4 linked regions of the Alligator mississippiensis genome follow. The protein of the gene in region 3 interacts with the protein of the main gene of each other region in a biochemical or structural test. Links are inferred from orthologs where the notes say so. Each region holds a gene or a part of one and is shown on either strand. Other genes may lie near its edges.

Region 1 (7,239 bases), on a different chromosome or scaffold from region 3:
CCCTGAGCAGACACCACACAGCAGACAAGCTACCTTGAGTGATGCATCGCACAGCATGGACAGGGCACAGGATATAAATAGGGGATGCAATACCATTCAACCTATTTTTGACATGGGCTGCAGCTGCTGGTATTGGACAGGCACCTGGTGTAAAAAGAGCTTCAGAAGCAGCCTGCATTATACAAACACTGAGCACTGGAGACAGCAGCCACTGTGAGGGGAAACCTGCTTTGTTTCCTTGACCTGTTGCAATTGTGATTATAGCTCTGCTCCCAACAGTCATCCTCGCTCAGCACAGCAGCCTGGAAAGCAGGACATGGTGACAGCCACTTCCCCTTTGTGCTCCAGAATTCCCACAAAGGTTTTACTGTGGCATCTCTTGGTGCCCCCATGGGTTCAACCACCCAGAGGTCACCCATAGGTCTATGCTCACCTCAAAAAGGTCTGGCTACCACCTTTCATGCTAGGGTGGCCCAAGGAAGCAGCACCCCCCAAGTTTGCAGCTCTCCCCAAGCAAAAACACACTGAAACAGTCCAACCCCCCTGGGAGTCCCAAATATACAAAGAGGGAGATGCCTTACATGTTTGGCTTCAATGTTGGCCAGTTGAGCCCTGCCCCGGTTCTCATCCATGTTTTCCTCTTGCTGTGTCCTTCGGCATTCGTCCAGCTCCCTAGGACAGATGCAGAAGAATATTACAGCACAGAGCAAGCTTTGGCAAGCAACCAGGAACACCATGCTGGAGAAGGAGGAGCGGTCACCTCCCAATTAACACAGGTCCCTGGCACAAAGCCTCTGACTTTCTCAGAAAGGGACTCCACCATCTATAACAGCACCAGACTACTTAGGGCAACAGCAGATGCCAGCAGGTGTTCAACCCCTTTGCCTTCCTCACACCCCAGATAGCAAAGTCAGTCTATGAGGCCAGGCTGCCCTCATCCTTCAGAGGACTCTCCAATTCCTTCCCCTTGTTTGCAGAGGCCTGATATTCTTCCAGGCCATCCCTCCTAGCTGCTGAGGGGGAAGAGATTCCTACCCACATTACCTCTCCTTCTCAGCCATGATAAGTTTGGTCAGATAGGAGTGCAACTCATTTTCCTGGTTGATCCGTTTCTCCTCAATGCTGTTCCAGCGCTTCTTCTTGGCAATCCTCAGGGCACTTGGAATGTCATCCCCAAAATTCAGCCGCTGCTCCTTGGCAAGATTGTGGGCTGAGGAGACAAAGTGGAGGTCAGCAGAGAAGCCTTCCTAAACCCACTTGGCAGTGCAGCTCATCACGAGAAGTGCAATACCAGCCTCTAGATGATGGTTTCACTCTTTCTGCTCCGGCCACGCCAGCACCTACACATGCAGGGCAGACGGAAGTTGACATCTACAGCTTTAAGTGGCTAATATGCTCCTGAGTGGCACTGCCCTAAGTCATGCTGCTGCTGTAGCACAAAGCAGCAAATGGGGAGGGCTCATTAAACTTGAAGCTGCAGGCTACAACCCGAACCCCACCATACCAGCTGCAGAGAAACTGCTTGGGGACTGAATTCCAAGCAGCTGCCAAAGAAATTGACTCCCCCTTGGGCCTCACCCGCAGCCACATGACTGGTGTGTGGTCAAGCACAGAGGCACTGAACTCCCACAGGCTTTCAACTGGTGCTCCAAACACCCCCGGCCTAGGGAGAAGCTGTGCACGTACGGTCACTCCAAGCTGTCCCCTGCTCAACTCCAGCCTTTTCTACTTTGTATTCACAGGCTGTAGTTTTGCAGGTGGGCGCTACTTGTGCCCGTTCAGGATGGGAGGCCTGCCTGCAGCTTAGCTAGGGCCTCCATCCTAGCACCTTTGAACAGAGAACAGCCACACCCCCTGCCGGTAAGTTAAAAGCAGCCAGGGCACTCCTGTTAGCAGGGAAGGTCAATAGACTATGAAGACTGTCAATGCCTTGAGTCAGGCCCAGCTGCCTGTTGACTGGCAGGCACTCACCCCTCTGCAGGTTAGCGATGGCCTCATCATAGTTCTCCATCTCCATCTGGCACTGACCCAGGAAGAAGTGGGCCTTTACAGACTGGCTGTCTAGCTCCAGTGCATGCTTGCAGTCTGCCAGGGCTTTATCGTGCTGCTGCATCTTCAGGTAGCACAAGGCCCGGTTGGTGTAATACACGGCTACCAAGGGATTGCGGTTCTGGAAGAAGACCTGCGTGCGTTAGGGGCAACCCAGGGCAACACCACCCCCAGACTTCCCTAACCGCTGGGGCTGGGAGGCTTCCTGGTGTGTGACCACTTTCCACTACTCTCCTGGGCCATTATATACAGTCTACTAGGCTGCACTCAGCCTTGATATTTAGCTTATTTTGACCTTTGCTTGTTACTGGATCTCATTATGCAGATATGTATGTTGCACCATCTTTACAAAACCTCCTTTTCCTCAGTGTTGCTTATGTTAACATCTACAGTATCACAGGGACAGACCTCGTGCTTTGGGCCACTTGCTCGGGGGTCTTGCAACTGCTCCGCGGGTCCTGAGCCCTGGACTCCGCCCCCGGCTCTAGGCCGCCCCTGCCCTCCTGCCTGCTCCTGGGCCAGGGCAGGAACCAGCGCTAAGGGGCCTCCCCCGGCCCGCCGTGGCCCGCGGGGCCCTGCCAGCCAGGCGCGCTGGAGGGCGGCGGGGCCCGGTAGAGGCCGCGCGGCGGCGGCACCGCCCCTAGCCCGGCCCTTCTCTTCCCCCGGCCCCGCACTCACGATGGCGCGGCCGTAGCAGGCGGCCGCCTCAGGGTACTTGCGGCCGACGAAGAGGCGGTTGCCCTGCTCCTTGTGCTCCTGCGCGCTGTGGCTCTTCTCGGGGCTGCCGCCGCCCGGCCCCGCGCCCGCGCCGCCCGGCCCCCCGCCCCGCGGCCCCGCCCCGCACGGCCCCGCGCCGCCGCCGCCGCCGCCCTCCTTCTCCTCCTTGCCCTTCATCCCCGCGCGCGCCCGCCCGCCCGGCCTGGCGCTGCGCTGCGGCTGCGACACCGACGGCGCCGGCCACAGCCACGGCCCCGCCCCGCCCGCCGGAACTTCCGGGACGGGGGCGTGGCCTGCGGGAGGGGTCACGTGAGGGGCGGGGCTGGGGCTGCCGCAGGGGACACTGGGAAGCTGGCGCGAATCGCACGGCGCGTGCTGGGAGCGTTGGTGGAGAGCGGGGGCGACCGCGGGAGCGAGGGGTCCTCACAGACATGGCGGCCAAGGGAGGTCTCTACGGCTGCCAAGACCCCGCGTGCTGGAGACGAGTGCGCGACCTGCACTGGGCGGTGGTCGAAGCCAAGGGGAGCGAGCGGAAAGGCCTCGCCGGGCTGGAGAAATGGTAAATGCGGCGGCGGCGGCGGCGCCCGCGCAACTGCTCGTCCCGCCCGAAGCTGTCGCCAGTGCGGAGCCCCAGGCTCTGGTGCCCCGGTGACACGAGGGGCCGCAGGGGGTCGGGTGCAGGCGGCGGCGCGAGTCCTGCCCGCTCTGGGCTCTGTTTCAGGTATCAGGAGGAGTTGCCGGCTGCTCTCGCGGGACGGAAAGAGAAGCATTTGACCCAGGGCGAAGTAGTGAAGCTGATGCAGTGGAAACTCACCGTGAGTCACTTCCCAGCTGAATGGCCACGTGCAGCGTCTCAGCCCTATAATGGGAGTGGATGCACGGCTGGGACGGGGGTCTCAGCCCCCCACGGGCTGCGACATCTCTTCCAGGTGCTGGGAGATCCGACGTCTGCAGGGTATTGAGTGTTTGCTTCCGCTCGGGAGCACGTGCGCGCCAGCTGTCTGACAGCTATTTAAATTGGTAACTGTTGTGCTTACCTTTCTAAGGTTGAGACAGAAATCATGGGCCGGCCATAGCCTCTGGCCCAGGGCAGGGGTAGAGAAGCAGTTTTATGTCATCTTTGCGGCTTGTTAATCAATTAATCAGTCTGGACCCTGGTTCAACCTGCAACAACCTTGGGGTTGCTCTAAGTTGCATTCAGCTGCAGACAGGCTGTGGTAAGTCGGGCCTGAGGAGTCAGTAGCCTCATCTCTAGAAATGTCACGTTTCTTTTTGATCCTGTCTCCATGTAAACACCTTTGCTAGCCGAACAAATTTAGTTAGGAGCATGATGGAGCTCTGTCCTTAGCTCACCTTGTTATCGCCCAGCTTACACGACTGAAGCCTGAATGCAGATACAGTCACGATGGCAAAGCAGCGTATTTCTGGGATAGTCTGTTCCACTTGGGGAACTGGTGTGAGCTGTCCTAACACAACAGTTTAAAGGATCCAATGACTGCATCTCCAGTAGGGGATTTAGCAGTCCAGCCATGCCAGTCATGTTATAGCAGCAAACCAGTTTGAGTGTAGATAAATCCTAACCTTTTGCATTTCACACAGCTTGGTCAGTTTCCTCCCACTAGCTCCACAGGCCTGTGATTGGATTTCCAGGGGAATTATTATTAATTTGTTTTTACACAGCGTTAGTACTGCCCACAGCTCTTTGAGCGCACAGAGAGATTATCTGCATCAGTGAGCTTATAATTGAATTATTTTCATTGGCTCTGAATCCACTGGAATGGAGCGGTTGGTCCAATTATAGCTGGGCAGGGTGAAAGCAGCAGGCTGGCTTAGTCACTAAGAATATTTGGGAGAAAGGAGAAGGTAGATGAAACTGCACTGAGATAGGAGTGTCGTGGTAATAGGATAGAGCCGTGAAGGCAAGGCTGTTGTCTACTTGGGAAAACGAGGAAAGGAAGGTAAAATCCCAGAGAAGATGCAGAGTAAGGGGGTGGCGTAGTAGCTGGAAAAGATACACGAGAGTTGTGAACAAGTAAACTTTCCTCCAGGCACACTGTGCTCAGCCTCAAACCACTTTGCATTTTCCAAATTGGTTACCCAACTTCCTATTCCTTAGGACAGGGGTGTCAAAGACCCAGCCCGCAGACCAGGTCTGGCCCTCGGACCTGTCACAGCCCACAAGACTCCTAGAGGGGTTGGGGTGAGTGGGGGCTGGGCCCATTGCTGAATACTAGGGCACAGAGCCTTGTTGCCAGTTCAGTGGCAGCAGGGCAAGCAAAGACTGTTATTCCTCTCGGCTCCTTGAGCCAACACAAACACCCAGGAAACCACAGCAGTTCACACCACTGCCACTTCCCCTGTTGCCAGAGGTAGATCTGGATCTAGCCCACGAGGAGCTCTGTGGTCTGGATGTGGCTTTAGGACAAGCCCAGGGGAGTTGGACAGTATTGCTTTAGGCAAAGACCTCTTGGGCTATCTTCTCTCTGACCTCAGAGTCTTATCTTTAGGGCGTGGTGGATCCCAGGGGGCATGTAGAGCATAGTCAGGGGACTACAGTTGAACAGAAATGTATACCAAGAAAGAATTGCTCTGTTTTTTTTTCAAAGGGTTGGCAAAGAACTCATGGCCTCAGAGTTGGATCCCCTCTAATAAGAGTATTGCCCCTTTCAGCCCCTGGGGTTACAAGCAATGAGCTGTAGTCACCTGCACAGCTAAGTCTTCAGTTGAGGGGGGCTCACCTTGCTGCCTTCTCTCCTCCCCTCTAGCGGGGAAAGTTCCGTCCTCGTCTGCAGCAGCTGGTGGCCACTAACTCCCAGGAGACAGTGGAGCGCTGTACAAGGAAAGCTTTTCAGCTCCTCCCAGATGTGGCAGCTGCCATAACTGAGCTGAGCCAGCTAAAGGCTATAGGACCAGCCACAGCTTCAGGTAAGGACTAAGGGAATTCAGTGAGGGATGGGGAAGAGATAAGGGGGTAGAGCCATGGATTGACCAAACTGTAAGTGAAAGAACAGCCAGGGTTGGTCAGCACTTTCACCCAAACAGCCATGCACTGCTACTTGCATAGTGGGATGCAAGATGCTGACACTCATGGCTCCTGGGAAACAGCGGTGGCCCTAGATCCCAGCCCTGTGGACAAGGGGGAAGCCACTGGTTCTTCCTAGTCTTGCAGGCAGCCAAACTAGTTGCTAGTGGCCTGTTAAAACCAAAACCTTGAAGAGGTCCTTAGCACTGAGGGCAGCAGAAAGTACAGGTCGAGGGCATGCAAACCTGCACGAGAAGGTGCCAGCTGGGATGGTTGAGTCACTGGCTTGGTGTATTTCCTGCTGTGATGAGCTGGTGGAGAGACACCTATCTGTGGAAGCAGAGGTAATTCCAGCTGCCCAAGGGCAAGCCTCCCCTTGAACCCTGCACTGGTCCAGTCCCATCTCTCCTGGGAGTGTTGGTGTGCACAAGTCCTCTTGGCTTGGCTTCAGGTTCTGTGATGTGCCAGCTTGCCCTGGCAGGCTCTGACAGGCATCCAAGAGCCAGCCCCAAGGCCCTAAGAAAGTGGACATCTGCTGTGATGAAGGATTTGGCATCTCCTGCTATCCCCCACCCCCTCCAACCTGTCCAGTTCCTCTGCTGCATACTCCCCCACCTTCCCATTTCAGCAATCCTGGCAGCAGGAGCCCCTGAGGTTGTGGCTTTCATGGCAGATGAAGCAGTGGAGTCCATCCCAGGCCTCACCCCCATTAAGTATTCCCTCAAGCATTACATCTGCTACCTGGACAGGATCCAGCTTTGTACCAAGAAACTAAATGAAGGTGAGGGGTGGGGGCCACACTGCAGTAGGACCTGTGGAGGGAGGGGGAAGATATTTGCTGCATCTCTGTTTTAAAGGTCTTGTCTTGAAAAGCCAGTAGAACTGCAGCGCTTATGGCAAGGTTGTTGTTGCACTACTGGACAAAGTAGTTCATACCCAGAGCTGGGGGTCAGGTTTCCTCCTCTTCTCTGTTGCTGCTTTTGTGGCATTGGACAAGTCTCTTGGTCTCTGCTCCACCTTCCCTATCCATGCTATGAAGATAACACTCCCCTGCCACCGCACGCTCCATTGAGATCCTCCAGTGAAAATTTATTTAAGTGCCAAATTGTGACCTGAAGTTTCTGTGTCCAGTAACTGAGACACAGGCAGTGCCTTGCAGTTGTATCAAGTAGATTTCCTTGGTTTCTTACACATGCATCTTGCAGGCACGGTAGGTCCCTGCTCATCAGCACCAGCTGCTGTGCGATCTCTCTCTTCACCTTGCCTTGTGTCTGCTCCACTAGCTTGCAGAATCTCTTGCTTGAACCTATGGTAGCTTCTTCCATAGTTACCTGTACCACCAGGTGTTGTGTGTAGGGGAGAGGTTTTACCTTTTAAGCCTTTCCTACCCTTCAGAACAGGGCTGGGAGCAGCAGCTGGGGAGAAGGGTGTTGCAAGCCCATGTTTTTGCT
Region 2 (7,870 bases), on a different chromosome or scaffold from region 3:
ACCCTCTCGCCTTTTCTGTGGGAACTAGAGAGAACCCTTCCCATGTCTTCCTCCTCCTATGTCTCCCTAAGTTTGGCTTTGACTAGACACTAGGTGGCAGTTTCTGCTCAACCCTATAGTATTTTGCTCAGCTACACTAAATTTATGGTGATGGATTCCTTCTGTTATTTGATAAAGGAATTTCCCATCTCCTAGTAAAACTTATTGGGTCTGTTGAACCAGTGATGGTGTGGGAACATACTAGTTTCCCATGAACCCAAGTAATTAACCCCTTGTGTTGGGCAGGGGCCTGTGAACAGAATCAGCAGCAGGTAAGCGCTATTTTTTCTTACTTCGTGCTTACAGAAATGTGGAGCTGGTACTTTCCTAACTGGTCGCTAGAGGTCCCTGCTGTTCTACGCAAACTCAGCAAAAGAAGTGCCAAACCTACAACTAAATCCTGAAGGATGGCAGAACGCGGTATCTCTGGGGGCTCACTCTGGTTTTTGTTCAATTTTTAAGCCAGCAGGGTTTTTATCCAAGTAGCTTTACAAGCCAGTAGGCAGCTTTTTCATTTCTACCTGTCACTTGCAGAGTGAGGGATGTTTTACTATCCCGGCATTTTCAAAGGAGCTAAAACATGCTGGGAGTCTTGTTCTCATTGAAATCAGGTGTTGGATTCCCTTCAGCTCCATTGAACCCCAAGTCTCTGAACAAGTTTCACATCCTACAGGAAGAGGATCCAGAAGGGTAAGAAAGAAACCAGTCTCTTTCCACAGAGGAGGCAAGCCTGCTTGATTTTGGTAGTTAACCCTGGTGGTGGTTGTTGACATGCCGTGGGCTCAGAATTTGGACCGGCAATCCTTAAGCGCTGTTACGATGCTCAGCTCTGATCTTAGCGCTGTTATGGTGTTTGGCTCTATCTGAAACAGAACCAAGTCACTAACAGTCTAAATGATGACAGAATAACCAGAGCAACAGTTCAACCAACAGCTCGGGCAAACAGGTCAGCTTGGGGGGCCTGAGGAATGACTTCTTTTCAGAGTGCTCCTGCCTTTGGAAGAGACATATCCAGAACGGGCAGGGAAGTTATTCCCTGTGGAGATCCACTGATAACATTAAAAGCTCATGTCAGGAATCTTAAATTGGAGTTGGGTTGGGTAGAGTGGAGTTTATTGGTACTTGGTTCCCCCTTGCAGACCCACCTGTAACGTTACAGAGGGAGGGCGTGGGGAGATGATGATATACTTCGGCATAAGTTACATCAGTGTGGTGCACCTATAGAAATTGTACCAGAGTAGGTAACAGACAGTGCAGCTTATCTCAGAGTAGCTCAAAGTGTAGTCTGCTATTATGGCACCTTTCCATTACTTGGTAGGGGAACAGGTAAAAGCCTGTTCTGCTTTGAGCAAATAGCTACTTTGGCATAAGCTGGACAGATGAAACCTTCCCTGGTAGTTCACTGATGAAGAACCCCTGAAAAAATCCAAGTATATTATTTGTCTGCTTGGGCAACATTACCCCAGTTTTGGGGGCTGCATCTGTCTGTTATGTTTTTACACTTGTGTAACACTGATGGAACCAATATATATGGGTCATCAGTCCATGTCCAGAGTCACCTGAAACTTAGGGGGAAGGGAAGGTTTAGGGGTTGTCTACGTGAGGAAGCTTTTCCAGAAGAAGAGAGTCTGAACTTGAAGCATAATAGCTGTTCCAGATAGCTCCTGGTGCGGACACTCTTATCCAAGTTAGCATAATCCATTTCGGAAAAAAGAATTAAACTAAATCAGGAAAAGGTGCTTTTCTCATAATAAGAGCGTCCACCCTGGGAGCTGTTGAGGAATAACTCATTCTACAATAATTATTCTGATGAATTACCCTGTGTAGTCATATCTTTTAAGAGCTATGAGCCAGAAGATTGTACAGGGCAGGTGAGAGTTCCCATTTTGGGGAATAGTGAATGACATCACATCTCTGCCATCACAGGGTCTTTGCAGGGAGAAACACACAGGACCAAGTGTTAAAGGCTGTGCTCTGTGGATCGATTCATTGAGCTGCAGTACCCTGGCCTCCTGAAGCTGAGGGCACAGGGGTGGAAGAAGACCATTTAAAAAGTGAACTGAGCTAGGAAGTGATCTAGACACAAGAATTCATTAGGAAAGACATTACTGGGGGTAGATTGGTATTTGCCGCCCCCTGGAATCTGCGAGGAATTACACGCGAGACTTTAACTCATCGGAAAGCATGTGGCGTGCAAACACCTACTCAACGTACCAAAATAACCTGGGTTAAAATTTATAAGGTGCATTAAATTAATGAGGATCAAATGTTAAATTAATGAGGATCAAATGCCGTGGCACGTACAAATGCCCAAGGATTTTGGCAAAAGCAGGGTGAAGGTAAAGATGATTCCTGGCAGTTCTCCGAGGGAAGGATGTAAGCGAATTCCACGCAAGGGAGACGTGGGGGAGGAAACAGAAAGACCAAGGTTAACTTCTGGCTTGGGAGCAAAGGGAAAGCTAGAATCAACAGTCATGTTAATTGAAGGAGTGCTGAGGCATCCAAATGGGCACCAAATGCACTCAGAACAAGCTGGTTTTAATTTGTTCCATCTACACTGAAGTGTATGTAGTCTGTGTCAGCCACCATTTAGCCTGTTTGCAAGCTCTCTGTTGCACTTGTGCATGTTTGGATGCAAAGAGTATTAAGCTTTGTTTAGGGCAATGATTCTCAACCAGGCTCCTGCAATACTCTGGTGTGCTATGCGATCCTTTTTAAGGTGACACAGGGTGCAAACACTTCCACAATTCACAAGATAAAGCCGAAGATTTCAAAGGGGAATCCATAACGTCAAAAACATTGTGACTTTTTTGTGGCTTTTCTGAATTCTTTGCAACAGAAAACTTGCTCTATTATTTTTCTGTAGTTAAAAAACAAATGAAAGCTAACACCTGGCACTTTCTGAAGGGTGCCTTGAGTCTAAAAAGGTTGAGAACCACTGGTTTAGGGGGAACAAAGGGCAAGTACCAGGGTAAGCTTCATCTACAGCGGAGGAGCTTTAAAGTTTTTAGGACCCATCATTTACTTCTCTTGGAAGGATTTGCAAGGGAGGGTTCTCCTATTGATGGGTGCTGCTGGCAGAAATGAGAGAAACATTGAAGCTACTAGGTGATTGCTGTTGTTTTTATTACTGCTCAAGTTTGAGTTACTTTAATAGCATCGAGAAGGACCTCTGCCCTCCCAGTGATGTGCGCTGGGATTTTTAAATCTCATGCAAACGTATAATTAATCCAATTGTTGCTTACTCTGATGTAGTTACTGGGTCATTCCTGGTTCATGCCTGTGTTGCAAGGAAAGTTTGGGGAGTGGTGTTGGGTGAATTAAAAATGAGCCCCAGCGGAACGACTTGTCAGAGTATAAAAAACCCTGCTGTCAAAGGCAGCCTTGAAGCCACTGTCTCTATTTCCTGGGGACCAAACAGTTTACATGTTAAGATTTGGCATTAAGGTAGAGAACAAGGGGGTTTCAGGATCCTGTGAGGCTGGGGGTTGGGTGAAACCTCATTGCAGCTGGTGGGTGTAACCACCACACTTCATTCAGGAGGAATGCAAGAGGCATTGAAACCCCTTCTGTGCAAGAGACAGCTGAAAGAGTAGGAGCTGCTTTCTGCAGCCCTGGCCACAAGCAAGACTTGGCCCTTGCAATCTGTGGGTTTTACACGGGGGTATCCTTTGGTGCCCTGGGCGGTGGAGGAGGAAGGGAGAAGGGGAGCGGCAGAAACACCAGGGAGTCGGAGAGAGAAGGCAGCAGAGAAACCTACGTGATCTAAGCCTCAGTGGCGGAAGCTTTTGGGTGGCGTGCTGGCTGCAGAGAGGCCTAGACCTGTTAGCAAAGCAACTGTCCAGCTGTGTCCTGGAAAACAGGACTCTGAGGATGTTCTTCATAAATCAACTGGATTGCATCAAAGAAACAACTGTCTCCTCGGCTTTTCCTCTTGCTGGAAACAATGCGCAAGGTCTGAATGCTGGCAAACGACTGGAGTCAAAACAGGTGACCATCATTCAGGCGAACATGTACATCACAACTGCGCCTAGACCAGGGGCAGGCAATTATTTTGGGTGAAGAGCCACTTACCGAGTTTTGGCAAACTGTTGAGGGCTGCATTTCCCTTCCCCGTGCAGCGAAGCAGGAACAGCCCCAGGCTCCCAGGCCAGAAACTTCTGCTAGGCAGGGGGGCAAGGGCTGGGCCAACCTTGCTGCTGGGTCCTGCCACTAGCTTCCTCTGGGTCCTACCGGCCCTGGCTCCTGTCATCTTTGACAGGCAGCTAGGAGCAAATAAATATTAATAAATATTAATTTTCTAATTTTTTAGGGCCATATGTTGCCCACCGCTGGGCTAGACAGAATAGGTCCTGCTCAACTGTGTGTCGAAGGGTTTGGTCACAAAGCACCTGGAGAAGCGGCTCGCAAACTTTTCGAGTTGGGGCCCCCCTCCAGGACTACTTGAGGTGGCAGCATCCCTGGTTTGGCACCACTGCCACCTGGGAACGGGGCCCCCGGTGCGGAGCCGGCTCGGGCGGCGCTGCGGCACATGCGCACAGACGCACTGCGGAGGCGGGAGGGACCCGAGGGGTCATGGCAGAGGACGGGAAGCGCACGGAGCTGCATTATCACCCCGCTCTCCTGCGCGCTTGGGACGGACCGCACCCCGCCACAGCTCGAGTGGCGAGTGCAGCCCCGCCTGCCCCCGCCTCCTCAAGGGTGCTGGGGGGCGGGGCCTGGTGACGGCACGCCGCTGCCGCGCTGGCTCCGCCCCTCGGCCAGCCCCGGGGCGGGGTGGGCGGGGCCGGAAGCGGCCGGGCCGCGGCTTCCGGGAGCTGCTCTCGCCGCTGCGCTCCGGGCAGCGCCCCCGCCCCGTGCCCCTCCCCCGCCCCCTGGGGTCGCAGCCCCTCCCCCCGCCTGACCCCCCCCCCCACTTTTGGGGTCTGAGCCCCCTTTGGGGTTTGAGCCCCTCGTTCTGCCTTAACCCCCCCATTTGGGGTTTGACCCCCCCTTGTGTGGCCCCAGACCCAACCCCCCTCCTTGGGGTGTGAGGGTGACCCCCCCACGGGCAGGGGTGCATGAAGCCGGCCCAGCGTCCCCGGCTCCACCTCTGCCGAAACCGGCCCCCCGCCACCTGCCCATGGCCCCCACCGCCCGCCCCGCGGCCCTCGTGAGCGGGGCAGGGTGGGGGCCCGGCCGCGTCGCTCCGCCATGAGCACGAGGCACTGGTGGCGCAGGTAGCCGTGGGCCAGCGTCCGACGCGGTCGCTTCGGGGACGACGAGCCTGGTGTGACCGAGTTGGCGCCCCCCAATACTTGAAGCCACCCCCCCCTCCCGCCCACTCTCCTTACCTCTTTTTTGGCCTTTCTCACTGAATGCTATGCAAAAGAAAAGGAAGAAAAAAAGAAACGCGGACCCGGACTGCGGGGGAATGACCGTCTCCTGCCCTGGGTGACTGGTGCTCGGCGAGATGAACTCGTTCTCGTCCCACCGGGCGGACGAGCCGCTGTAGACGGGCCCCTTGACGCTTCCGTAAGCCCTGTTGTCCTTCCTGAATCTCGTTACCGTGCACGGTTTCACGTCGAGCCACCCGCACGGCCTCGCTGAGCGTCGGGAGCACGGGTGCACCTGACTGAACTCTCCGCCTCAAGTGACTTGCTTGGAGGATGGTGTGAACACAGCCCCCTGCTCCTCGGTCGTCTCGTTTTCCTGCAAAACTCCCAGCCTGGAAGATCGGGGCTGTCTGTGTCCGAATCGTTCTGGTCCTGGGAGCGGCAGCCCAGCGTTACTTTATGGGGCAACAGCCTGGAAAAGTTCTTGGGGACCAAAGGAGGCCGAGTCTGCCTGCCCTGCACTTCATCAAGGGAGCAGGGAAGAAGGAGTCATCCAGGCATGGAGGCCCTCACTGCAATGTCTTCGTGGAGCATGGTAAGGGGCTGAATTGACCTGGCCTCTACAGCGCACTATTGGCTTGTTGAAGGGGTTAAAAAAAAAAAGCAGAGGTCAAGGTTTTTTGCTGCTTATGCGTGATTAGTGCCTAAGAATATTTTGGCATGTTCAATTGCTGTTTCCCAGTTGCGTGACTGATGAGTGGGCTTGGAGAAGGGAGCATTATTATAAAGCTTAAATGCAGGGAAAGCAGCTTCTTAGTAAATTAAAAAAGAGAATCTGTCTTTTCCTCTAAGGTCAGAGAATATTTTGCATCCTTTCACTTGTGTATTTAAAGGACATGAACTAGTTTGGTAATACGTGTCCTTGTGAACCTCTGATTGTGCTTAGAAGGTAGGCTGTCACTTCTGTGGGTATGTTTGTGATGCCTGGAAGCGTGTGTATGTGTGCGTTTCCCCTGTGAATGGACATCACTCTCAGTTTCATTTCCTCTGGGTCACCAGCTAGGCCAGTCTCCTGGTGTGACGATGCCTGTAGGTATAGGGCTCTGCACACATGGACCTGCTTTCAGGACAGTGACTTTTGAGGGACTTTGTACGACTGCGCTGTGCACCCAGTCACGGGACAGCCAATGGTCAGTGCAGCCTGGGGGAGAGGGTGATAATATCCATAACTCATCATTTGAACTTAGATTTTTTGGCTGACTAAATTTTAAGGTAATAGGGCCCCTTCTAAAAGATGGATGCAGAAAGAAACTTTTAGACTGTTCCTCACTTGTCTAGCACTTCATTTGAATTCTTCGCTTCTTTTAAGACCTCTCATTACTTACGGCTTTCTGACAAGAAACAGATCACGACCATGTTTGTCTGGGTAAAAATGCTGAATAAAGTAACATTATCATCCTTGTCCAGTAGAAAACTTTGCTAGATTTGTCTTCTCAGAAAAGACCAAACTAGGTGAAGATGTGAAAATGAAGTCTGCGGAGTGAGGTTTGTTCGGTAAATGGCTTTATTATGTGATTTTAATTTTTCAATGGGACCAAAGAATTCAATAGGGTTCTTAGCAGGAGATGCTGCAGATACACTGACATGTTAAAACCAATCAGAGTAGTCCCGACTAACTTATTTTTCCCTGCCTGATCACTGCACAGCAATTGTTTGTTAACTGAAGCTGAACCGTGGAAAGCTAGGCAATAGCGGAGCTGACCCAGCCCTCTTATCAGTGGCATGTTCTTGCTATGAGAACACTCCAAGCCAAGGCTTCAGTACCTTGGAAAGGAAAAAAGAAAAACAAGTGCACCCTCCCCATCTCTGTTGCTTCTGTGCTTTTCGAGACAGTTTCAAGGTCAGATGGGCCAGAGTGAGCAACAAAGCACTTAACTACAAGCAACGCAATATTCTGCCCAGCTTCAGGGTTTTGATCTGCCAGACAAGGCAGCAAGCCTGCTTTTTGCTCATCGAACAGGAGTAGACAGATGGTAACTTTTTTTGCCAGGATGACCTGAGGTCAGGAGAGCCTAGCACATTTGCAAGGAAAAGGAGTATCTATGATACCCATACTCCATATGTCCACCAGAGACCTTGGTGTCCTAATTAAAAAAAGAATATAACTTGAAAGAGGCCATCATGACTAGTACATCTGTTAAGGGATTGCAGAAGTACGGTCTCACTTACCCACATGAGGGAAAGCTTCTCTTCTGAGTATCTGAAGAGGCTCTCATCAACACAGACAATAGTTAAGTCTGCTCTGCTGTTTCTGTTCATCTCTGCTATGGGTTAAGGCTGTTTAAAAAGCTCCTGGCTGAAACCTGACCTACAAAACACTGTTCTGTGAATGAATTGCATGCCATTCTTGGGAAACAAACCAGCAAGGAGGAATTGGTAGTAGTCTTTGGTGCTCCTTATCGTTCTCAAATTGTGATTCTTGCCTTTTAAAAGAAAACGTGCTATCATCCAACTTT
Region 3 (7,982 bases):
CTTCAGACAATGCACATACATAAATAAAAGAGATTCACCCCAGGGGTCAAACTACATGTAAACCTTGCAGTCACGCCCAAAGTAAATGGCCTGTGTGCCTGCCCCACATCCTACAGGTCAGGCTCAGTTCGTTCAGACCACCCACTGTCTAAAGTAGTTTTGCAGCAGTGACTTTGTAATGCTATAGACTGAGGGAGTTTCTACAGGTGCCTGAGCTGTGGATACTTGAACATGAGCACGGCAACCTGTATATGGGACCACACACAAGCTGAACTCCATCCAGAAAGGACTGGAGCTAATGTGACTTTTAGCCTCTGCAAAGACCTTCCAAAAAATCTCAGATCAGGCTTCTTAATGCCAGGAGTGTTAACAGCATGGTGCTGGTGTTTGCTTTGGAACCCTGTCATTCTGATCTCACCAGAATATCCCACATTCCCCACACGGGTTCCCTTTCATGGGGATTTGATGTGGCTGTTCATGTAAGATATTCTCTTCCAGGTAAACATGACAAATCAGGTTAGCATGTGAACTAGGGAAAGTGACTTACTATCAGGTGTTTGCTAGGATCTCACCAGCAGAATAGGATGGGGTGTGGACAGAGAATGTGTATGAGAAAGAGAGAGGCAGACAGACACACCCACAGGGAAACCCAAACAGTGCTCTTGCAGCAGTAGGCACTAGGCAGCTCTCCCTCTGAACCATAGCAAGCAGGGGCATAGGCTCTGTCTTTCAGCTGAGGTATCAAGCTAATTTACCCTTACTTGATATAATATGGGAATCCTGTGGGATTCTGCTCCACCCTTCAAGAGCAGGTGTCCTGACCAAATAAATTCTGCCAAGTGAAATCCTGCTCCCTCCTGTGGATTCCATTTGAAGGAGTTTTCCTTTTACTTCCTGTCAAACTCTTGGGTAGCCTTCTTCTGGACTGTGACCACCATGTCACCAGGGCCAGCCTCATGGCACAGCCTGCTAAAGGATATAGACTATCTAGACTCCTTCCACGAGTTCCAGCTAGCCTGGCGCAAGTAGAGGCAGAGCTTTCCCTCAGCACAGAGAAGGTAGGACATAGGGAAGGCTGGTTGTAAGGCTCTTCTGCCAGGACTACACCTGGCAAAGTCTAGACTATGAAGCAGCTCCACCCCAGCAGTGGCTGCATCACCATGCAGTGAGGTTATTCTTGTACATGTGAAGTCTGTGAAGCACTTCAGGATGCCAGGTCTGACACAAAAAACTATTCTTTGAGGCTCAGGGCCTGTTATCACTAAATCGAGGGTATTACAGAGCTAAGAGAAATGGGCATCAAGTGGATCTGCCTAATCTGCCAGTCCTGCCCATACCCAGCTAAGGAATCAGAAAATGCTCATGACTTGTTTGTTGCCTTCATGAGGTAATTCTTACCCACCCCTTTCCCCTTCCCAGCCCTACCTGCTAGATTGCCTTTCTCCTCTCCCAGGGTGAGAATTGCCCCAACAAAATGTACTTGTAGCCATAAGGCCGCAGCCTCACAGCATTCAGCTGCCATAAAGGGCTTGACCCAGCGGGTAGGACAGGTGAGGTGGTAACAACACTGCCATCTGCATCAATGCAGAGAACCCACACCTTTGCCATCTAGCTTATTTCCCCATCAGGTGTTTTGTAACCTGCTAAACAAACACCTCTTTCCAAGCCTGCTGCAAAGCCCAGCTAGAACCCCACACTCCCAATTTTGCAAAGTAAACTCCTCTCTGGGTTATCCAGTGGCCCAGATGCGACCCTACGGACACCGAGCTAAATGCAAGTGTATGTGCCGAGCCGCGTAGCTCATCCAGCACCTGAGAGGCGATCCAGCCGGCTCCTACCAGTTAGCCACACTCCCCTTACTTCCCGCACGCAGAGAGCAAAGAGTGCCAAGCCTGAAACTTTAGTGCCTGCCTTATATTGCTTTTTTTTTCTGCTCCAGAAGCAAAATCGCCGACCGACCAAACAATAAAACCTCCCTCCACAGATCCGAAATGTCTAAGCCACCCTCTGCCTCAGCGCAGCAGCAAAGGAATGAAAGAAACCATTTTAAAAACCAACTCCGTCTCTCTCTCCCGGCCCCGCACCGCGGCCAGTCCCAGAGCGACTGCAGTTCGCTCGCTGCCTTCACGGTCACGTCCGATTGTGGCATGGTGCCGGCACAGTGAGACGGGGGTAGAAAAGCAGCGATCGCCCTTTTTGGTTGGGGTATGAACCCCACGAAACAACACTGGAGTGGCGGCTGAAGCGGGCGGGATCACTGCAGGGCTCGCGGGCCCTGGTCAAGTTCGCGGCTCGAGTAATTGACCAGTTCTTCTCCTGCCCGGCTCCCGGCTCCCCTCGCACTTGGCTCTTCGCGGTGGGGAGTTTGTTTTCTGCTTTTCCCGGCTAAATCTTTGAGGAACTTCACCGCGATTCTTCCCGTGGGTCTGATCTCTGCCTCCACGCGAGTTCCATGAACTTTAGCAGAAGTTTTGGGGGGTTGCTTTCCACCCACTCTTCCCGCCCCCCCCGGGGGTGCTGGAGTCCGGAATATTCAAGATCCAGAGCTGCTGCCTTCCTTCCCTCGCATCCCACCGGCCCTCTGAAGTTTCTCCCTTTCCTGAGCGTCCCATTCCAGTTTCCAACCCCCTCCCCCATTTCTTTCCCCCCTCCCCTCCGTTTCCAATCTGACCCACCTTCGGTGCTCCAGAAGCCTGGCAAAAAAGAGGCTAAAAGCAGCCCCATGAAGAAGCAGCAGCTGCTGGGAGAGATCATCGTTTTCATTGCAGACTCCAGCCCATGGCTTCTGGCAGAGAGAGGGGGGTCCGGCCAGGAAAGTTCGCGCGTGTGTTTTCCCTGCTTTTGCAAGCTCAGAGACACACCACTTTGCTACTGCACTTCCTCCTCGGGACGTGCGGCGCGCCCCTGAGCTGGATTCCAACTCCCTTGGGAGTGGTAAGGCACTCCGTGCCTGCTCTGTGCCAAGACCATTGTGCGCCTCCTGGGAAAGCAGCTTCTCCCTGTGCTGCCGCTTCAGGGTCAGTCCGATTTCACTTTGCTCTTTGCCTCTTTCGTTCCTTCTCAGCCCAGCCCGGGCTGCCCTGGCACAGATCTGAGTCAAGTGAGAGGTGAAGAAATAGGATGACACTGCAGCCTGGAAGGGCTGATCTCTGCCTATGCCTTGGTGGGGGGGAAATCTCTTTTTCTAGTACCCCCAAGCTGGCAAACAGCTCTAGGAATCACTCCAGGGAAAGACAAAAGAGAGTGTAAGGGAGAGAGGCTTGGCAGATGGGTTTCACTGCCATTCTGCAGGCTGAGGTTGAGCAATGGATTTCCAAAAGAGTGCAGTTCCCAAGACACCAGTGAAATACGTACCTAGGTTTTCCAGGGGGGTTGAAGGCTTTTGAAGGGGATGGGCTTTTAAAGGCTTCTCTCACTGGGAAGGGTTGGGCCCTGGGCCCAAATTAACACCAGGATCCTTTGAAGAATAGGTGTAATGCCAAGCATAGGCATTACACCTATCTGTGAATCCCAGCCTGTCATCATCTTCAGTTGGCTGTGAGGGTGCTGAACCCCTTCAAAAGGGAAGGAAGGTGCAAGTGTTAGGATACTCTTGGGCTTCCTATCATAGGAAGCCCAAGAGTCATAAAGACAGGGCTAGAAGGGACCTCTGGAGGCTATCTGGTCCAACCCCCTGCCTATCTTAACCATCCCATACAAGTCCTTGTCTAGCCTGTTCCTAAAACCACACAATCAACCCAGCTGCACAACTGCAAGGAATATTGCCCAAAGACACCACAAACACCTTAACCTACCTCATGTAAAGCAAGAGGATGTGGGCTGCCAGTGTCCTGTGGCCGCCAGGTTCCCTATTTTGCTCCAGTGTGAGACTATAGTAGGTAAGTCACGTAAGGGTTGAGCCTACGTTGACGTGCAAAGATACCCAGACTACCATTAAACAGCTTGGCTCACAATGAGCTCTGTGCAGCTGCTCCTGTACAGCAAGTTTGGGTATGTATACACTGGAGAATCTGCCATGTAGATGCACTGTGATCCAGTCCCCACTCTGTATAGATGGACAGTGGCACTGCCCTGCCACACTGCAGTGTAATAATTAGCAAGGAAAATTGTGGGGTACTTAAATATGATGGCACCAGCTCCCATATCAGTAACTTCAGCCCCTCAGAAATCAGACTGTCTGTTGGTGCTTGCCGCCTTGTCCCTCCTTCAAGCTGTAAGAAAAATAGTCTGATCTTGGAGTTTTTAGCATCTCACATCACCACTCCTGCCCCTGATATTTCTTAATTAGTGGCATTTCTTGATAGGAGAAATAAGAGTTGTAAATTGCCAGGGTGGTGTTGTCACAAGGAGATTATGTGGAGATGACCTCCTTACACTCCAGAATCCAAGCTTTCCTTAAGAGGTGTTTATGGGAATGTGAAAAAGTCTTCAGATCCTGGACTGTAAATAAATGCTGATCTTTGCTTGAATTTGCTGAAAGTCTGAAACAAAAGATCCATGGGGTGTGAACTGCCCCTTGCTGCCTGGTGTTAGCTCTGAAGTCTGTGGATCAGGGCTGATACATTTTACTTTGTGTATTCACTGTTAATTATGTTGCTGCTGATAAGGATATCTGAGAAAGGAGAAGGGTGAAAGTATAAGATCTGTAAGTGGCCTTTTGTTCTGACCTCTCAAGGGGAGGAGTTTGGTCTGTGGGTGGAGCTTGAGAGGCTCCCAGGATGGATTTCTTGGCCTATTCAATCCCTGATTGGTAGATGAACCAGCATCAAGATCCTGAATCTGAGCACTGCAAAACTTTGTGAAAAGTCAAATTGGATTGAAACTGAGCAGCAGAGACCTCTCTTTGCTTCTGGGTGAGGAAATAACTGGTACTACTATGGGCTGGATGCCATGGAAAAGTCCTAATTAGGATAATGAAGGTAAATTTGGATAATCAGTAAGGCCCGTTATGGCCTGAAAATCTGTGGAAAGATGCCTTCCAGCCTGCCCCATCTCCTTACCTTGCCAGGAAGAAAAAGGATCCTATAAAGTCGGGGCGGGCAATGATTTTGGGCAGAGGGCCACTTACTGAGTTTCGGCAAGCCATCAAGGGCTGCATGACAGGCAGCCCAGGGCAGATTAATATGAATTTTCTAAATTTTTTAGGGGCCCCGCGGGCCAGATAAAATGGCCTGGCAGGCCACATCTGGCTCCTGGGCTGCATTTTGCCCACCCCAGCCATAAAGTGTTATGTGAGAGGGTAGTTCTAGCTCACTGAATAGAGGGTGTTAGCCTGCGTTGATTCAGATTATCCAGACATGAGCGTGACAAGACTAAAAGCCCCAAGACAGATCAGTTACTTTTGCTGCTTATTGTTGGAGTTCTTTAGGGAGTCAGCATTCAAGTGCCATTCATGCACTCAAATGGGCCAATTCCAGTGTGGATGATGCTCTCATAATGTTGCCATTCCCCCTGATTTTTCAAAGGACTCGTAGTGGTTTTGCCCCAAGGCTGAATTTGGTCCCATATCCAGCTCTGCCTTCTAAACTTCAGCCCTCCACACTGAAATGTAACTGAGCGCTGAGCCAAGGAGTTGTCACTTCCTTACTGCAGGTTGCTTAATTTAGTCAATGCAGGTGACTGGGAGACAGGACTCCCAGGTCCCATACTGGGATCTGTGCCATACCCAACTGGACCCCTTCAGACATGTCACTTCACCTTTTTAGGCCTCAGTTTCCCTTGCTCTAAAACAGCACAACGGATCTTAAATACAGGAGACTGTGAGGCTTCATATTCTAAGGTCTTTGAACGTGGCGGGCAGAAGGCTTCTGAGGGGTACAGTATCTCAGAGTTATTCTTCTATATAATATACTGTATCCCAACTTAAGAGCAGCCTCTTCAGTTTCTCGGTACAAGGAACTGTTGCTAGTTAATACTCTTAAGATAATGCGTATGAGAAGAGCCCGCTAGTTAAAATCCTAAATGTTTCCACTAGCACAGGGTAGTTTGGTTATGTCCTGGAACGTCTCTAAAGTACATGTGCGAACTGGATCTGAGTGGATATTGACATGATGCTGCTGCTGGGAATTTGGTGCTTACTGCTTGGTGCCTGTCCCCAGCCTGAAAAGACTAATATGAGGAGCTTGCTCCCTTTGGCAGACCTCACTTCATTTCCTCATGTAGCTGGAAGTTGTCATCCGGGCTACAATAGACTGCCACAGTTCTGTCTCTGAGTTGAAGGAGAGCACAGGGCAGGGGAGGGTGGTTTGGGGGAGGAGTTGGGTTGACAGATTACACCCCGGGGAGGAAAATCTTGGATGAAGGAGGGACTATTAGAGAATGAACTCCATTCAAGCCTCTGCCGAGCCCTTCAGGCAGCCAAGAGGAGAAGAAAAAAAACCCATCTGTTGTTGTTGTTTTATTTATTTTTTCTCTCCCTCTCTTTCTTGCAGCAGTTTGAAAATGGGAGGGAAAAGAAAGAGGGGAAAACAAGTTTATTGCTCTGTGTTCTCTGTAATCTGCACCTGATAACAGCCAGGCCCTGCTTTACAATTGCAGCAATTGTGCTTTGGTTGAGATGTCTGTGTGTGAGTGAGCAGAAGCAAGTGGAGTGCAAGGACTGGGAAGGAAGAATGAAGGGAAGGGGAGCCTCTTACATTGGGGGGGAGGGTTAAAACACAGTTGCATCTTGGAGGGTAGCCCAGAGTGAGCTTGGTAAAGGATGTTAGCTGATTTGAAGACAAAGAGTTTGGTCCCATCTAGCATTGCAACTGGCTCTCTCTTTGTCAGTGATTTTACAGCACTGTTTTGAAAGGAGTTTCCATGATGGAAGACCCATAGCTCACTTAGGCCTGGATAGTTTCAAATCAAAACCTTCTGCCAATTTGGCATGAAGGCACCCATGTTATCTTTCTTAGGCCTTCTTTACACACAGAGTGGTACTTGAGGATTGGTCTGCCTGGAAAAGTTTGCACCTATTTTTACCTAAAATGGGAGTGGGTAAAGTCTGGGTCGCAGTCCAGATCCGGTCAGTAGTGGACTCCATTTCCCAGAAGCCCCAGCCCAAGTAGCTGGGGCCAGTTTCCATGGAGACCCCAGCAGCAGCCAGGGGCCAGGGTTTCGGTGGAGACCGACCCCAGCAGCGCCAGACTCTTCCTGGTGGGAGGCCTGGAGGGGCTGTGCTGCGGGTGAGAGTGGGGCAAGCTCAGCTGCTGCCACCTGTGTGGGGCAGGCAGTGATGGCAGTGGTGCTGGGAGGAGCTGGGCCAGAGCTGTGATCCACTGCCTGCACACCCCTGCCTGGAGCATGCAGGCAGCCAATTGCAGCTCTGCCCTGGCCCTGCACCCTGCCAGTGCTGCTGGGGCCAGTCTCCATGGAAACCCTGGCCTTGCACTATCACAGTGAGGCTGTTGCTGGGGTCTCCATGGAAACTGCCCCCAGCCAGGCAGGCTGCTTGGAAATGGAGTCTGGTCACTAGACAGATCCACCATTTTGCCCACCCTGACCTAAGATGCGATCATGAGCCAATTGCACTAAGCTTTGGCAAAAGAGCATGTAGATGCTTTTATTTCAATTTAAGCTCTATTATCTGAGTTTAGCTGAAATTGATTAGGAATCAGTTTAAACCAAACCGACATAAATTCCTCTTCAGCCAAAATGTGAGTATCCACGCTGGGTTTTGCACCCATTCTAATATTATAAAAGCCCAAGTCTGTCTGTCCATAATGCTCTAGTCGTGCTCTGATTGGCTGTCTCAGCAGCCAATCAGAGTGCGCTATACAGAGAGGGACAGACAGCAGAGCGCTGCCATGACAGTGGGGACTGAGGGGAGTGGAGCTGGCCTCGCCCCCCTCTCTTGCGCTCTGGAGGCAGAGGGGGACGATGGGAACCAGAGCTCCACCATAACAGAGGGGATGGAGTCCCCCCCACAACAACAGCCGGCAGGGAGGGGATGTGGCGGGGAACAATGGAGGGAGGGGAGCAGGAAGGGGAGGGGGGCAGCA
Region 4 (7,107 bases), on a different chromosome or scaffold from region 3:
GCCAAATGAAAGTGATGCTATAATCAGCCCTTTCCTATCTGAGAAAATGCATTACTTCTAAATCATGATAAAATGCTGTTTAGAGTGCTTATATAAAATCTGCAGCACCACAACTTCAAAAGACTTGGTAGGGATTTAGTTACCCCATCGTCTGCACTGCATTGATTCACTATATGGCTTTGGACTACGCACTTAACCTCTTTATACTTCAGTTTCCTTTGTCCATTAAATATTACTTACTCTGTACTTCTGGGTAGATGCATAGGAGAGTTGTTGTGAGGTATCACAGTCCAGACTCAATTTTGTTCTCACCGCTCTAATTTTGAAAGACAAACACAGTGTTTATGTGAATATATATATCAAAATTCAGATTAGCTGTGGGAAGGGGAAATGCATCCATGTTTTTCAAGTTTCAGCAGATCTACCAAAAAATGAGGGTTTATATGTAATTATTTTGCAAGGCATATAGCTTTTGATTAGTGGGAAGATAACGTATTTGATTTACCTTTTTTGCACTGAACAGCAGCAGCAGCAGCAGAAAACAGATTGGATGGTGTGATCTGAAAAAAACATTTCCCATATTTTTAGCATTTTTTGGTTACTGAAATGAGGAGTAACATAGGTGCTGGGTTCTATTACTAGCTGGACTCACTGTAAAACCTTGGACAAGTCACTGAGGACATGATTGCGAAGCCCAGGACTGTACAGATGAGGTATCTACACATGTGCTTTATCACACTGTAAACTAATTTACTGCACAGTAAAGCATTACCCTGTACACATGTACAGCAATTGGGATGGTGTAGACTAATTTACAGTGCTGTTGAATAGTCCTGTCAGACTCAGATACTATCTGGCAGTGGAGTGAATTACTTCACTTAAACACACATGTAGATGGTGACATCAGGATTAGTTTACTCTAGCTCAAATTGCACTGGAGTTTATTCAGTTGCATTAATTGCATGTGTAGACATACCCAGAATTAAATAAAAGGGGTGAGTAAGAGGTGAAGCCAAATATCCAAAGAGAACAACAGGTTCCACATCTGTGCAGCAGTCTCAATATCTAGCACAGCTGAGTACTGTCGGTTCTCTACTACAAAGGACATGGCATTCAGCACTGAAAAAAGATCTAAGGAGATGTATTAGATGGTCTCCCAAAGAGCAACCATTTTCCAAGTTTAGTTTTCATGTAACACGATCTCTGCACAGTCATTTTACTATGTTCCACTTTAGTTTGTTCCTTTTCTTTCTCCCTCTCCCCTCCTCCATCACTATTTTTGGCTGCTTATTTCCCCAGCCCAACCTGGGATGATGATCCTTGTAAAACTATTGTGTGTAAAAGATTTGGGATGACATATTTCAATTAAGTTTTATCAAACATTATTCTTTATGGAACATAAGTCTATGGAAGAGAGGATGGTAGTGAAATGCTAGGCTCTTTGGGAGGTAACTGGCTTGCCACTTATTTACTATATGGTCATGGACAAGTTACTGATATCTTCTCTCTGCTTTGTGTTATCCACATATAAAATGGAAATAGGACATTGTGAGAATTAACTAATGTTTTTAAATAGCTTGGACATCTCTAGCTGTAGCATATAGGTACAATTATCATCATTATTAATAATTCAGGTATAAAAGGCTTAAAACCAAGACTTTTGACAGTTTGTTAAACCAAGAATTTATATCTGACCTTGGGAGGGGAAATCACATTTGTATGATACAACTACTGGATTTATGCAATTCCTCATACTCTGGTGGTAAATTGAAGGATGCACGAGTGGGAAAAAGACACAAATGTGTCAACAGGAAAAATAGCAGCATCAGAGGTCTGAGCTAGGTTGCTTGGTTGGAATTGCTTGTGTGAGGCCTTGGCAGATGGACAGGGATTGGATGAGTTGCAAGAGGGAGAGTCAATTTGAAGCTGGATATAATCCAGCATGGTAGCACAGCAAAGATTATTGAGAATGTCTGTACACATAGCATTCTAAAAGTCTAAGTTTCTGTGGCATTTCTAGTGAAACCTGAATTTTTTTGACCACTACAGACCTGTGTAATATTTTACTAATTTACTAATCTTGCACTATAAAAAGAAAGGAAAAGATGTCAGAACGTCAGGAAGATAATATCAAAATTAGTTCTTAGTCGGAAGAGGAAGAGACCCATTATGGCTCATGCTTGTTTTGCTTTGAATATCTGCCAGCGAGGCTTGTGGGGACAATTTCCCTTGACAGTGGCATTCTGTGAAGAGTCTACAGCGTGGGATGTTGGTGAGCCTATTTTAATCAGAAGACATCATAAACAGCTTGATAAAAGTTTCCAGTGACGGCTATGCAAAGTATGGATATTGTAAATACCCACACCAGCTGACAGTGACATTTTTTGGCTAAAGAAGTTAGATAGAAAAGCAAAGGTAATGTGATCTGTTTGCTGCATAACTTTACATTGTACATTAAGTGCTCTCCTAGTCAACCTGTAGCCTGTTTTGGCAGAGCTAAGCAGGAGGAAAATACAATTGGTGAGCTGGCAGGTGGCACTCTGCCCTTCCAAGCAGTGCTGAATAAATGTCTGGGAAGGGTCATTTTTAAGGTATGGCCATTTGAATAAGGTGGCCTGATTATTTTTGGTCATGGGAGGGTTTATGCTGCTTTTCAAAAGAGCAAGGGTGACTAAATTCTAGATTAGATAATTACATTGTCACTTATCAAGATTTCCTCAGCTGTTTCAATAGGAGATGCAAACACTATGAGATGGCTGTATTGTGTTGCCATGTGTTGTCAAACACACACTGTTCCATCAAAAAAAGGGCCTACTTTTCCATGGTGGGTAAAGTAGTCTCTTAGTGTTTCTTATTAACCCCTATGAGATTCAGTTATTTTTACAACTTACTTATCAGAGCTCTTAAGATTGGGCGCTATAGAACTTGTAAGTATTATTAAACCATCATTCTTATGTAATACTGAATATTTGACTGGAACAACAAATATAGAGGAATTCATGCTGATGCTATAGACCTCTATCAGTGTATAGTGTTTTGATATGAGTAAGGTCTAGACTGTCAATCTACAAATTTTCTGACTTAAGTAAAATTCAGTCTCTCTGCTAATGATTGGTACTTGAAATTTACTGGGTTAAGAGAAGCCTGCAATAAATTACATGATTATACTAAATTTTATAGATATTCTAATCATACATTTACCAGGCAGTTTCTTATAGTGCCCATGAATTTGTAAAAAGCAATGGGTTGAATCAGTAAGGGGGTGTTTCACATGACACATTTTAGATCCCTATTCATACCTGAGCAAAATTTGCATCAAGTTTTGAGCTTTAACTCAGAACAGGGTTCCTAGTCTTAGCACTGTGAGTCAGAGTGGCCCAAATGACTGGCTTCTGCAGAGACATGAGCAGAAAATATGCTAAGGACAGGGCAGTCCTGCAGTTTGCCTCTCCCTCCCTTCCTCTTATGCTTGCCTTTCCTGATTGGTATGCCAGGCTCATAACAAGGGTGAAGGCCTGCTAAACCCCAAATCCTTAGGAGCCTAATCTGCTTTTCCTTTAGATTAAACCAGCAAGGCTGAGAGGGGAACACTGGTGAGTGGGCAGCTCACTGTCTCCATATATACTGCCCAGGCTTTTGCGCCCTGGAGAGATCACCCCAGCTTCACTTTATCTTTCAAGCAAGGATTATGATCAAGACCCTAAGGAAAAGACAGTCTCAGTTCTCTAGAAGCAGATCTGTCTCTGCATATCTCTTGATCTAAACAGCTCCATCCTTTGCAGTCTGATTTCTGGAGTTGTTTTGTCTTTTTAATATTTTCCTGCTTTGGCTGCTCACTAGCAGCTGCAAATTGGACCCAGTAGTAGTAAATAAAGTTGAAAGCTGAATTATTCACGTGCCATGTTTCTGTGGGGAAATGTACTGTTTGTTGAGGACAGTATCATGGAATGAGTTCTCAAAGAACCTTTTAGTTTTAATTTTAAAAAATGGGAATTGAAGTTCTTAGGATATAATCTCATTTTAGTCAACTCCCTTAACCGCAATACTGCCCACCTGTACTAAGTTACCTCAAACAAATGCCTAATTATGTAGAGTTGCCCCTTCCAGGTCACTGGGAAGCTTTTTAATTACACAGTACAAATGATATCACCTTCCTATTCTGACCCTCTTGAAATGAGAATTTTTAGTTCACAAGCCACTAAACCAACAGAATAGCCCATAGCTGTTTTGAGGTATAATGTTGGAATAAGAAGACTTAACCTTCTTATCTGTATAACTCAAACCCTCTCTACAAATGTCAAATTTCTTAGTTCCTTGTGTGAGTAACTAATAGCCTGATTCATGTCACAGTCTCATATGAGCAACACAGGAAGTTATATTCACCCAGAGCTGCCTTCAGGTATCATAGCAATACTGAATAAAGTGCTACAGGAAGCCTGCACTTCCTGACAGATGCATAGGCAATATATAGACTCCCATGGCCATCTACCCTCTCATTTTGCAGGTTTTTTTTTCCTTTCCAAAGAGAGAGAGAGAGAGAGAGAATTTGAAGCAAAAGAACTAACACACACAAAAAAGCAGATTCTGCTGTGAGCATGTAAATGAGAACAAATTTCGTCCATTATTTTTTATAGCTAAAACATTGTTTTTACATACTTTCTTCCTGGATTCAAGTCATCCATTGAATTCAGTCCAGTCCAGACCCACTGAAATCAATGAAAAGGCTCTCATTGATTTTAGTGGACTGTAGATTAAATCCCTACCAAACTAGGAAAAAACATTTTGTATATGCCAAACAAGTTTGCTGTATAGCAATAAGATATGGACTCAAAGTGTTCATCCCTGCCCCAATTACATTAGTCCAAATATATCATTGCTCTTTGGCCATAAGGTGGCCATTTATGTTTACAATATTATAAACTACAGATATCATATGTGACTTGATTGGGTAGAAAATACCTTTACTTCTTTTCCTGCAGCATGTCTGATCTACAGTCAACTTCTGTTTGGAACTAAATCTGCCTAAAGCTGCTCTGCTGCCAACCTGTTTTTAGCACCTTCTTCTCTGTGTAGTACAACAGAAAAACATTGTACCATAAGCTATATAAAAAAAAATGAATCTCTTAGGCCATTCTCTTATCACCATGACATGGAAGTGATAGTGACAACATTTCCACCCTTGCTGCCAAAACATCCTTAGCCCATATCCTCAGCATAACTTGACTTAAAATTTACACCAGCTGAAATCCCTTGACTCCCAAGTTTGTCATGTTGTCATCGTGGATGGTGGTGCTGAGAAATGAGTGACAAAAGATACGCTGAGGAATCTTTAGCTTAAATGTCTAACAGCCGCTATTGAACTAACTTACCTTGGAAAGGAGCTGAAGCTGGCTCTAGCTATGTGGAACAGGAGTCTAGTGTGTCAGAGAAAGGGAGGAGGAAGAAAAGACAGGCTTATAGTGGTGATGAAAAAAGGTGAGCTGCTTGAGGAGAAAATGCAGACATGTCCATGAAAACTAAGGGGGAATATAAAGAAGTGCAGGAGCCTTTTGTGTTCCTGTTGCTATTATAAGCAACTTTGGTCCTAAAATATTAAGCTTATAAAGAGGTTACACAAAATGTGACAACCTAATGATGCCCTTTCAGTTAATAGACCTACCAGGTCCATGGCCAATACACACATATGAATACATGTAATTCATATCCTTTCCATGTCCATTTGTAAACTGTTCTCATTAAGGTGAATTGGGATGTATCATCAGACAACCAGACAAAACAAAAGTCTAGTTAGAAATGTGTTTTTCTTATCATACATCTTTTTATATTTTTGTTTGTCAAGTTTCTAAGGAGGGGTAAGCATGTGTTCATTACTTCTAAAGCAATGCTAAATGTTGACAGCTCAGTTGCAGTCTCATATCAAACCCTGAACAGTTTACTATTTTGAACAGGTTGAGCTAACCACATAAATTGGGCACATTGAGGAATATTTGACTTGCCTACCCCATCTTTACTCATCAATAAAAAAATCTCACTCTTTTGTAACATAGAAAATCCCCATCAACTGATCATATATCCCTCAGTATTCATCCAAACTAAAACAGTAGTAAACACTGCCTGTTTGTAAATCAATAATGTAGCTTGCTTGTAAAAAATATTTTTGTAACCAAACTTTGAACTTTCATAAATAAAGCTTACTGGAATATTAGTATTTTTCTTTAAGTTAACTCTTTCTTAAGCTAACATCTTCATAACCAGAAAGGTAGCTTTCATACCATAAAACTTATGTATTACATCTATGCTCTAAAGGCAATTTAAGGAGAGGCCTTTGGTTCCCATTCCCTTGTGTTCCCAGTCAATTGAGTTCTCTATCCTTGTACTTGTGAAGGTAGTAGCTTCACTGAATCCATCATAGCAATTTTGTAATGTACTTTGGAAAGTTATCACCAGGAGTTTTTAACAAATAAAACCTAAAAGTGCAAGAAAAGGCCACTTGGACTATGCAGTGATGTTTATACATCTCATTTGCTAGCTAAAGTGCTATTACACACAACAGAACATAAAGTACAAAATACATGGTTGAATTTACTTACAGGTAGAAAGTGTCATGTTTGATCGTCTGCTTGAGTTCATATAAAAATGTTATCCTTTGTTCTTCAGTTGTTGCCTCAGTAACACTAAAACCCCTCTAACTGAAAGCCTAGCTTTGATGCGTGGTATGGTACAACACAAGCATCATTTAACCCCACCTACTTTCCTGTTTAAGAAAAAAAAATTCACAGGCTAGATATAAATCTCATACCAGTGTAAATTAGGAGTCTATGTGCTGAAGTCCTGTTCCTTGTACCATCAAATTTGTTTTACAACTGAATTATTCAACTGAAATCAATATAATTACTGTGCTGTAAAAGGTGTGAAATTAGAAAGAGTAGCAAACATGTGCCACTGAGTTTGGAGTAATGTAGGTACATTTTTGCCCCAGTCTTCAAATGAAATTAAGTTATAATGATAGGTAAAGAAGGAATTAAGTTGGAAAATGCTAAGGGATCACATCCAGGAGAAATGATGAAGATGGCATTTGCCAATTTCTCTTAAAACTATTTAAAACAA

The links.
Region 1: the proteins of ERBB2 (region 3) and STUB1 form a complex in vitro, tested with the Homo sapiens proteins (4 studies listed by BioGRID, with this or other methods). The link is inferred for Alligator mississippiensis from reciprocal best matches to the Homo sapiens genes ERBB2 and STUB1.
Region 2: the proteins of ERBB2 (region 3) and ABL1 form a complex in vitro, tested with the Homo sapiens proteins (3 studies listed by BioGRID and IntAct, with this or other methods). The link is inferred for Alligator mississippiensis from reciprocal best matches to the Homo sapiens genes ERBB2 and ABL1.
Region 4: the proteins of ERBB2 (region 3) and TXK form a complex in vitro, tested with the Homo sapiens proteins (2 studies listed by BioGRID and IntAct, with this or other methods). The link is inferred for Alligator mississippiensis from reciprocal best matches to the Homo sapiens genes ERBB2 and TXK.

Annotation. Positions count from the first base shown.
Region 1 is NC_081836.1:29,911,683-29,918,921, forward strand, and holds the start of STUB1 (E3 ubiquitin-protein ligase CHIP), read right to left. Parts: upstream 3,001-7,239; 5' UTR 2,944-3,000; coding exon 2,728-2,943; intron 2,171-2,727; coding exon 1,972-2,170; intron 1,211-1,971; coding exon 1,045-1,210; intron 673-1,044; coding exon 582-672; intron 1-581. Other genes in the region: uncharacterized protein LOC106737444, read left to right, coding at 3,198-3,325, 3,488-3,695, 5,532-5,691, 6,417-6,569. UniProt on the Homo sapiens protein: E3 ubiquitin-protein ligase which targets misfolded chaperone substrates towards proteasomal degradation.
Region 2 is NC_081835.1:59,333,723-59,341,592, forward strand, and holds the start of ABL1 (tyrosine-protein kinase ABL1), read left to right. Parts: upstream 1-4,860; 5' UTR 4,861-5,813; coding exon 5,814-5,949; intron 5,950-7,870. UniProt on the Homo sapiens protein: Non-receptor tyrosine-protein kinase that plays a role in many key processes linked to cell growth and survival such as cytoskeleton remodeling in response to extracellular stimuli, cell motility and adhesion, receptor endocytosis, autophagy, DNA damage response and apoptosis.
Region 3 is NC_081827.1:165,333,971-165,341,952, forward strand, and holds the start of ERBB2 (receptor tyrosine-protein kinase erbB-2), read right to left. Parts: upstream 3,003-7,982; 5' UTR 2,764-3,002; coding exon 2,676-2,763; intron 1-2,675. UniProt on the Homo sapiens protein: Protein tyrosine kinase that is part of several cell surface receptor complexes, but that apparently needs a coreceptor for ligand binding. Essential component of a neuregulin-receptor complex, although neuregulins do not interact with it alone.
Region 4 is NC_081825.1:57,156,818-57,163,924, forward strand, and holds the start of TXK (tyrosine-protein kinase TXK), read right to left. Parts: upstream 3,002-7,107; coding exon 2,892-3,001; intron 317-2,891; coding exon 241-316; intron 1-240. UniProt on the Homo sapiens protein: Non-receptor tyrosine kinase that plays a redundant role with ITK in regulation of the adaptive immune response. Regulates the development, function and differentiation of conventional T-cells and nonconventional NKT-cells.